Oryctolagus cuniculus: one gene and its partners. Each later gene encodes a partner of the first gene's protein in a complex. Links are inferred from orthologs where the notes say so. Each region holds a gene or a part of one and is shown on either strand. Other genes may lie near its edges.

Evidence for each region. The genes of interacting proteins can lie anywhere in the genome.
Region 2: the proteins of RHOA (region 1) and ARHGEF11 are in contact, whole or in part, in a crystal structure (PDB 1XCG), measured with the Homo sapiens proteins. The link is inferred for Oryctolagus cuniculus from reciprocal best matches to the Homo sapiens genes RHOA and ARHGEF11. Residues at the interface, in NP_001300870.1 of Homo sapiens: Arg5, Thr19, Val33, Tyr34, Pro36, Thr37, Val38, Glu40, Asn41, Val43, Asp45, Glu54, Ala56, Trp58, Asp59, Ala61, Gly62, Gln63, Tyr66, Asp67, Arg68, Leu69, Arg70, Leu72, Ser73, Pro75, Asp76, Pro96, Glu97, Pro101; in NP_055599.1 of Homo sapiens: Asn715, Gln717, His718, Glu737, Val738, Glu741, Thr745, Ser748, Ser837, Lys844, Arg867, Arg868, Leu869, Gln870, Arg872, Asp873, Ile876, Met879, Gln880, Arg881, Thr883, Lys884, Leu887, Leu888, Ser891, Arg914, Leu917, Lys918, Val920, Asn921.
Region 3: the proteins of RHOA (region 1) and ARHGEF25 are in contact, whole or in part, in a crystal structure (PDB 2RGN), measured with the Homo sapiens proteins. The link is inferred for Oryctolagus cuniculus from reciprocal best matches to the Homo sapiens genes RHOA and ARHGEF25. Residues at the interface, in NP_001300870.1 of Homo sapiens: Arg5, Tyr34, Pro36, Thr37, Val38, Glu40, Asn41, Val43, Asp45, Glu54, Trp58, Asp59, Ala61, Gly62, Gln63, Asp65, Tyr66, Asp67, Arg68, Leu69, Leu72, Pro75, Asp76; in NP_891992.3 of Homo sapiens: Tyr163, Val164, Glu167, Thr171, Met174, Tyr175, Asp178, Cys253, Lys256, Pro257, Glu260, Ser264, Arg275, Arg281, Leu282, Asn285, Asp286, Ile289, Lys290, Val292, Gln293, Arg294, Met296, Lys297, Gln299, Leu300, Leu301, Cys327, Pro330, Lys331.

What each region holds. Positions count from the first base shown.
Region 1 is NC_091441.1:99,877,424-99,881,028, reverse strand, and holds part of RHOA (transforming protein RhoA), read right to left. Parts: intron 2,838-3,605; 5' UTR 2,836-2,837; coding exon 2,680-2,835; intron 614-2,679; coding exon 493-613; intron 1-492. UniProt on the Homo sapiens protein: Small GTPase which cycles between an active GTP-bound and an inactive GDP-bound state.
Region 2 is NC_091438.1:41,883,918-41,886,920, forward strand, and holds part of ARHGEF11 (rho guanine nucleotide exchange factor 11), read left to right. Parts: intron 1-11; coding exon 12-230; intron 231-516; coding exon 517-876; intron 877-2,093; coding exon 2,094-2,189; intron 2,190-3,003. UniProt on the Homo sapiens protein: May play a role in the regulation of RhoA GTPase by guanine nucleotide-binding alpha-12 (GNA12) and alpha-13 (GNA13). Acts as guanine nucleotide exchange factor (GEF) for RhoA GTPase and may act as GTPase-activating protein (GAP) for GNA12 and GNA13.
Region 3 is NC_091442.1:60,220,671-60,222,954, reverse strand, and holds the end of ARHGEF25 (rho guanine nucleotide exchange factor 25), read right to left. Parts: intron 2,186-2,284; coding exon 1,985-2,185; intron 1,847-1,984; coding exon 1,666-1,846; intron 1,424-1,665; coding exon 1,212-1,423; intron 966-1,211; coding exon 855-965; 3' UTR 570-854; downstream 1-569. UniProt on the Homo sapiens protein: May play a role in actin cytoskeleton reorganization in different tissues since its activation induces formation of actin stress fibers. It works as a guanine nucleotide exchange factor for Rho family of small GTPases.

The DNA.
Region 1 (3,605 bases):
TGACTTTTGAAGTATGTGGCCACCTGGGCTACTGAAATGGTCAGGTTCAATTCTCTCTAAGTTAAGATACTTTTCTTAGAAAAGAGCTAAACTAAGGCTTTTAAAAATAATTAGAAAAGCAAATCACCAGTCTCAATGTTGTGAGGTACCTGGCTAAATACGAAGTACTGATAAGAGATGTGGGAAACCAAAAAGCCAGTTTCAAATCTCAGTCTAAGAGATGGCTTTACATTTGAAACCCATGTACTTTACAAGTGGATACATTTAACAGTAGCCATGGAGACTTATGGTGAAAAGTGATCCATGGTCTATATTCTACAGTCCCAAGGCTCTAAGAATCCAGCCAATGATGACTCTTCCACAAGCTCAAGTCTCTCTTTTATTTATTTGGCAGCCAACTCTAATTTTCAGCCATTGGATCCCCAGAAGTCCTCAGAAGTCAGATGTCAGTCATGAAGGCAGTGACAAACAGTAGGCTGCAGGGGCACTTACCTAAACTATCAGGGCTGTCAATGGAGAAACACATCAGGATAACATCAGTGTCTGGGTAGGAGAGGGGCCTCAGGCGATCATAATCTTCCTGGCCAGCTGTGTCCCACAAAGCCAGCTCTACCTGTGATGGAAAAAAACAACCAAATACAAAAGTGCAAGGTTAATCCCACAACCCACTTAGAAAAAGTGACATCTGTGACAGTACATGCAAACGGCAAAAAATTAAAAAATAGGAAGACATAGGAAATACTCACTTTGATGAGACTCAAGCCCAAACAAACAAGTTGTGCTCAGTCTTTTAAGTTGAAATTTCTCAAAATTACAAATTTTATAAATAGTTACTAGAAATGTACAAAGTGGCATAATTTAAAATGCCAAATAAAAAATAACTTTGTCTCTTGTAAGACATGTTTAAATAACATTCTACTAGAAAAGAAACTGAATAGACAAGAGAGGAGGTTAAAATGTAGATAACATTTAAAATGTAAATAACATTTTACCAGGTACACAGGCAAGACAGGGAAATACCAAATTCACTACCCTTAATACTTCTAACACAACAATTTCTTCTCGGTGCCCCTCTCTTCAATAACTGAAACATCCCGTATCAGAGAGTTTGGACAGAGTGCTGGGTACTCTTCTTCCAATCCAGCTTTTCTGCAAATGTTCATCATGGATGGCAGCAAACAATGGCTCTAACAGTTGAGTCTCTACCATGCATGTTCAGAACCAGACCGATTTCTGGACTCCAAGGTATTGAACCAGCAAACAGGAAATCTGTCTCTCTGCCTTTCAAATAATTATTAATAGTAAATATAAATAAGATGGATTGGTGTGGTGGTAGCATGGATTCAGCTGCTGCTTGGCATACTGGAGTACCAGTTCATGTTCTGGCTCCTCTGTTTCCAATCCAGCTTCCTGCTAATACATCCAGGAAGGTGGTGGATAATGGCCCAAGTATTTGGGCCCCTGCCACCCATGTGGGAGATACAGATGGAATTCCTGGCTCTTGGCTTCAGCCTGGGCCAGCCCTTGCTATTACAGCCATTTCGGGAATGCAGCTGGAGGCACACTTTCTCTGCCTTTCAAATAAACACCAAATAAATAAATCCTAGAAGGAAAAAAAAAAGACACCATTTTGAATATTAGGGGAGACCTGAGCTGACAGCAAAAGTTTGTCCCTGCTTTAGCTTAAGCAATATATAGAGGCTGGCGTTGTGGTGTAGCTGGTAAAGCCACTGCCTGCAGTGCCAGCATCCTATATCGATGCCAATTTGAGTCCTGGCTGTTCCACTTCTGATCCAGCTCCCTGCTAATGTGCCTGGGAAAGCAGCTGAGGATGGCCCAAGTCCTTGGGTCCCTGCACTCACATGGGAGACCTGGAAGAACTGGAGGAAGCTCCTGGTTCCTGGCTTCGGATCGGCTCAGCTCCAGCCACTACAGCCATTTGGGGAGTCAACCAGTGGATGGAAGACCCCTGTTTCTCTCTGTCTCTACCTTTCTCTGTAACTCTTTCAAATAAAAAATAAATCTCAAAAAAAAGTTCATCAATTAAGAGGTTCATTTGAGCACTATCTATTTGGCAACAAACTATATTTCTCATATTAACAAATCTGAAAAGGGCACATATACTACAAAGGTTGTTTTGTGTGAAATACATAGGAATGTGGATAAAGTTTAGATGACAAGAAAATGATCAAATGTGGACTAAAGCGGCAAAGTGAGAGGAGATTATTCTTTCCAAAATTTTTTTCCAACTTTTTTTTTTTTTTAATGATTTATTTATTAACTTGAAAGGCACAGTTTCAGAGAGAGGGAGAGATAGAGATCTTCCATCCACTGGTTCACTCTCTAAATGAATGGCCACAATGGCTGGGGGAGGCCAGCTAAAGCCAGGAGATTCTTTCAGGTCTCCCACATGGGTGCAGGGGCCCAAACACTCAGGCTACCTTCCACTACTTTTCCCAGGCCACTAGCAGTGAGCTGGCTTGGAAGCAGAGGAGCCAGGACATGGACCAGCACCCATATGGGATGCTGGAGTTGCATTACCTTCCACACAATACTGGGCCCTCTTTCCAACATTTTTGTTAATACCTGTACTAAGAGGCAAAAAGGCCTAAACCTTTAAAGATCTACACACAGCCTAATATGCAAAGTGGCATCAGCTGTAACAAAAAGTGTGCTCACCTGTTTCCCATCCACTTCGATATCTGCCACATAGTTCTCAAACACTGTGGGGACATACACCTCTGGGAACTGGTCCTTGCTGAAGACTATCAGCAAGCACGTCTTGCCACAAGCACCATCACCGACAATCACCAGTTTCTTCCGGATGGCAGCCATCGCTGAAACATAAAACAAACGGTTTTATCTGCAATGAACAAGAAGCCATGAATAGCTTCAGGCTATGACACATTTTTTCACCATGGGACAGAAGCTTCTATTTGCATACCCAAATTAATTCTAGTTCACTCTTCCACTTGGAACCAAAAGGCTATACACCAAAACCTCCTAACTAACATTATACTGCACGGTTAATAATTGAAAGCCTTCCCTCAAAGATCCACAAGGATATCTGTTTTTGCCACATCTATCCAACACAATATTGGGAATTAGGTAAGAAAAGCGAGCCCATGACATAATCCTGTATGTGGCGAATCCTTTGGAATTGATTAGGAAACTATTACAACAGATCCATTCAGCAAGATGGCAGAATGTAAGATCAACACTCAAAGTCAACAGTATTTCTTTTTCTTTGTTTTTAAAGATTTATTTATTTAGGGGCCAGTGCTATGAAAAAGCAGCTTAAGTTACTGCCTGCAATACCCATGTCCCATATGAAGGCAGATTCAAGTCCTGGCTGCTCCACTGCTGAACCAGCTCCTTGCTAATGCACCTGGGAAAGGAGAAGATGGTCAAAGTGCTTGGGCCCCTGCCACCCACATGAGAGACCTGAATGGAATTTGCAGGCTCCTGGTTTCTGCCTGGCCTAACCCTGGCTATTGTGGCCATTTGGAGAGTGAATCAGGGATGGAAGATCTCTCACTCCCTTCTCTGTGACTCAAATCAATCTTTTCTAGATCTGGGTCAGGCCAGAGCCAGGAGCTTCTTCC
Region 2 (3,003 bases), on another chromosome or scaffold:
CTCATCCCCAGCAGGCCCTGGGCCCCCGCAGAGAGGCCAGGGGATGCAGCCAGTGCTGCTGGAAGATCCAGAGCAGAGGGGCCACGGAGAGGAGGAGCTGGGTGCCCTGCCCGACCCTCCTGCACCCCTGGGTGGAGAGAACAGCACCATCAGGACGAGGGACCCCATCCACCTGGCCCTCCCAGGCCCTCTGTTCATGGAAGGACTCGCTGATTCAGCCCTGGAAGACGGTGAGTGCCTCAAGGAGCCACCATCAGCCCCTGGTCCCCAGTAGCTTGGCCAGGGTGAACTGGCAGACGCCGTCACCCTCCACCTGCCGAAGGCGCTCCCTGCTGGTGCTTGAGGACACCAGCGAGGTGGCCAGAGCCCTCCAGCCCTCCCCTGGGAGGAGGCAGGTTGACCACTTGGAGTGGGGGCAGCTGCAGTGCCTCACCCGTGCCGTGCTCTGCCCCTGCTGACGTGGCGAGCAGACCTGTGCAGGAGAAGCCAGCCCCCTCTTCCCGCTCCCCCTTGCAGTGGAGAACCTGCGGCACCTGATCCTGTGGAGCCTGCTGCCAGGTCACACCCCAGAGACACAGACTGCCAGGGAGCCCGAGGATGACCTGACACCCACGCCTTCTGTCATCAGCATCACCTCTCACCCCTGGGACCCAGGCTCCCCAGGGAGAGCTCCTGCTGCAGGTGAAGGGGACAGCACCCAGCTCCCGGGGCCAGAGCGGGGCCAGCCAGAGCAGGACACGGCGCTCTCTTCTCTGGAGCACCTGCCCCCACGGACCAGAAATTCTGGGATCTGGGAGTCTCCCGAGCTGGACAGGAATCCAGCTGAAGAGGCTTCGAGAACAGAAGGCACAGGAAATTACAAAGTTGTGAGAAAAGGTAAAGTGGGCGCGTCCCCTGGGGAGACAGAGGCCTGGTTTTACAAGAGTTGAGGTGGGTCTTCCCTCCCCATCTTGAGCTGGGGACCGTGTGAGCAGAGCTCACCCCCAGTGTGGGAGGAGGTGCAGATGTGTGAGGGCCCTGCGGTCAGTCAAGGTTCAGCGCCCAAGGCCGGCCACACCTAATTCTAAGGTACTCGCATGGAACATGTATTAAAACATACGGGTATCTGGGTGCCAAAAGATGGTGGAGTCCACACATGGTTTTTTCATAATATGCATTTTACATGAACTTTTTGATAAGCCCCCATATGTAGGTGGATTGCAAGCTTTTTGTACCAAAATAAACTTATCTTGTAATTTCATTTTCCAAGAGCTTTTTTCCCCTCATATCTGTGACCTTAGACAAAGCTTTGAATTCTCTCTGACCTTTGTTCTCTGATAAATGAGGACATTTCCTGTGCCAGTGAGGGCTCTGGTTGATTTCCTGGGACCTTCCAGGCCTGAGAACAGGATGTGGCTCTGCTCAGGCGCTCAACCCCGAAAGACAGTGCAGCCGCGTGCAGCCGGTCACTCCAGATAGCAGCCCTGAGGACCCAGATGGCTGCTGGGACTGGAGGGGCTATAGGACAAGGAGACAGAGGGGTGAGGCCGAGTGGACACACACCAGGGTAGGGGACTGTCATGGACAGCCGGGAGACCGCTGTAATGGAGGCGCCCTCCAGGAGGCTGAGGACAGGCTCATGTGGCCAGAGCAGCGAGCCCAGGGCAGCCAGGCTCGGGAAAGGCAAGGTGGCGACAAGGAAAGGCTGCCAGAGGCACGTGGCAGGGCAGAGGAACAAAGCCTGGGCCACTGCTCAGGGCTGGATGGGGTCCACGTTAGCGGCTCTGAGTCTCCTCTCCTCCCCTAGTGCTCTGCTCCACCTCCCATTCCAGTAGTGTTCTCCCTGCACCTGCCCGAGGTCTGCCCTCTCCGCTGGGTTTCTGGGACCTGACCTTCCTTCTCTCTGTTCTGGTGAACTGGTGCAGAGCTCTCTGAGCTCCCTGGGAGGTGACCGCGTGTGGCCTTGTGTTCACTTTGTTCTTCCCTTGTTCCTCCTCCCCTCCCCACCCCCACCCCCTCCTCTCTCCTTTCCCCCTCCCTTCCCTCTCTCGCCCTTCCCTTTCCCTATCTTTCGGACTCTGCTCTCCCTGGTGGTGGTGGTGGTGTCGGTGCAGCCGAGGTGGCAGGCGGCAAGGGTGTCCCTGCGCTACCAGAGAGTGGCCAGTCAGAGCCTGAGCCACCTGAAGCAGAAGGCGGAACAAAGGCTGCGGGTAATACACCTCTCCTGGGAGCCCAAGCCAGGCCAGGGCTGGAGCAGGGCGCTGTGGGGGCAGACCTGCGGTCACACACACCCCTCCACACTCCATGGGCCGCCGGGGATGGGTGAGGAGTAGGATGTGGGCCTGAGGACAGGGCACTAGACCCTGTGACATCAGGTCTTCACTCGTCAGGAGCTGTACAGGTCCCTTGTCCAGGCAGTAAGTCAAGCCACCTGTGTTGAATTGTGAGGTGAGGTGGGGCAAAAAGCGTGGCCTATGCCCAGGGCCCCAAGTCCTTTGCCTGACGCTCGGAGCTCCCACCCCCAACTCAACCACCACGCATGTCACTGTAGAGTAGGCTTCTGTGGCCTCCCGGGTTCCTTGGTGCTCACTGCCCTGTCAGGACCCTCCACGTCCTTCCCCAGCTGTCTCTGACCCCCCTCTGACGGGTCATGGTATGTCCATAGGAGGGGGACACAGGTGGCAGTTGGGGCAGGAGGTAGCGCTGAAGTTCATCAGCAGAGCTTGAGGTGAGGCAGGTGAGAGGCTGCTGCCTGCTTCTCTTCCGGAGGCTGAAGCAGCCCAGCGTCCCCACCCTTCCCTCCAGCCCCGTGTCCCTGCGTGAAGCACTGCGCCTGCCACTTCTCCCTTCACTTCCACCAGTCAGTATCCCGCCCTGCATTCGCAAAGTGGCCATCCAAGGAGGCTCTCTGGAGGAGGAGGGCTTTTAGGTGATATGGGCAGCACAAAGCCAGCATCTCCACGTTCAACTGGGGAGGGCTTCCCTGGCCCTGTTCTGCCCATCAGTTGAGGGGGTGGGAAGATG
Region 3 (2,284 bases), on another chromosome or scaffold:
TCTGTTCCAGAGGTTGGGAGGGGTGAAGATCCCCATAGGTTCCCCACTCGACGCTAAGGTTTGAAGAACCTCTCCTGCTCAGTATGACATGACCGATGGCCTCACAGACAGCAAAGACAAGGAGATCTGGAGCCAGGAAGGGGCCACAGCGCCCAGGACCCTCTGCACCGTCCCATCCTCCCTCGGCGGAGTGAGGAGTCCTCGTGAGGAAAGGTACTCTGGGCATCCTGTGCTTCGCCATCTGGTGGTGCAGGGAGTGGGTGGTCACACTACACTGGGCTTTCCTGGGGGTGTTACAGACCAGGGGGCAGATCTGGGGGAGGGCAGAGGAGCTGGCTAAAGGACAGAATACAAGGATCCGCGATTTTCCAGGGGCTGCAAGCCCTCAGGGTGGACTGAGCTGCAGGGATGCAGGAATAGATGACCACATGACCCCCAGGAACAGATGACCACATGACCACATTTATCTCACGCCGTGTGCCCAGGGGGGCGCCTGATCTCTTCTACCCCACTGTGCCCCATGGACCCTCACGACAGACTTCCCTTCCCTCTGCCAGGACAGCAGCCTCGGGGATATCACAAAACCTTTATTCTCAGAAAACAGGAAAAACTAAAGCAGGAGTTTCTATCTGGCCCCTGCCCCAGCCCTCTCACTCCCCCTCATCGCCTCCCTTTGGGGAGACTGTGATGCACGCACAGGGGTGGGAGCGGGTCCAGGTTCTCCTCCCCGAGCTGCCCAGCCTCGCCCCTCCACACACTTCAGGAGAGAAGGCTTCCAAGTCAAGGCCAGCATGGCCCTGGAGCTCCCTGGGGAGCAGGTCGCGGAGAGAGCACCACCCTGTGCCCTTCACCGCTTACAGCTCATCTTCGTCCAGCTTGGCAAGTCTGGCCTGGCAGGGCGGGGTTGGAGGAGTCACAGGGACTGGGGGAGGGTCCCGAGGAGCCTGGGGGATGTCATGGAGGGCCTGAGGAAAGAATCGAGTCACAGGATGCAAAAAGGCCAAGAAGGACTTTTCACTCTTCTCTTTGCAGTATAAGCCCTTGGCCAAGCCCCTCCCACTGTCAGCCTCTAGCAGAGTTAAAAGGGGTGGGGGGTGGGGGGTAAGGGAGGGGAAATAGGGAGGAGCAGACTGAAGAAAGGGCAGATGTGGGGGAGGGGACCACAGAACAAGAGAGCCCCTCCCCCCACTTTGCCCCTCCATCCTTCATACCTGTGTGTCCAGGGGCAAGGGCGCTCTGGCCACCTCCCCTTTGGGCATCAGCAGCAGGGAGGGGAGAGAGCCGTTGATGGGTGTCTGTGTGCTGGCCTGGGCCCGGTCTCCAGGCTGAGTTCTCCCAGGGCTCCCCACCCCAGGGCCCCCTGGCCGCCCCAGGCTGTTGGTCTGGCTCTCCCGTCTCTGGTACTCAATGGGTGACTGCAAGGCTGGGCAAGGACAGGGGGAGAAGGCAGGTTATAGCAGAGACAGCCCCTTTCATGCTGGGCTCTGCTCAGACCACCCTCCCAGCTGGCCCCTCTCCCCCAGGGACCACCAGCTAGTGTGAAATACTTGGGGCTTTAGGGGCTTCTGAGTCACTCAGTGTGGGGCCAATCAGACGGCAGGGGCTGAAGGAGGCAGTGAGGGATTCAAGAGGGCCTGGGGCTGGGGGAGCGGGTATGGGCCTCACCGTTGAGAAAGTCCCGCTGGCTTTCCAGGATCTGTGCCACCTGCTTGATCCAGGCCTGGCTCACGGCAGGCTCGGCAGCCTGCAGGACGTAGCGCTGGACGCCGCCCTCCGGCCCTCTGGAGGTCAGTGCGAAGCGGCAAGGGTCCCCTTGGAGGTTCCCCTCCAGGCCCAGGCAGCTCACCTGAACCGGCAGACAGGAGATGGTCCCCAGGTTCCTCAGCCCCTCTCTGGGTCCTGGCCCCTCCAACCATCCGAGAGCCAGCCAGCCAGCCTCGCCGGGCCTCACCCTGTCTCAGGCAGGCCCTCCCTCGGAGCCCACCTTGATGCTGCTCTTATATACGTAACCGGGCTGCGTTCCGCCTCGCGTGCCTCCTCCTAGGGCCTCGCTGAAGATGACAATTTGCTCAAAGAGGAAGACGCGCCTCTCTCGCCCTCGGGCAGACAGCAGCCCCCCAGCCTCAGGCTCTGTGACCCAGAATGTGTCCTGACCCAAGAGCTTCCCCTGAGCGGTCAGCTTGCCCTAGAACCAAAACATTCGACCTTTGAGAAAGACCCTGGAGGGAGAACGTCCCCTCCCGGACATTCCCAACCAACCACCCGGCCCGCAGGGGCTGCCCCC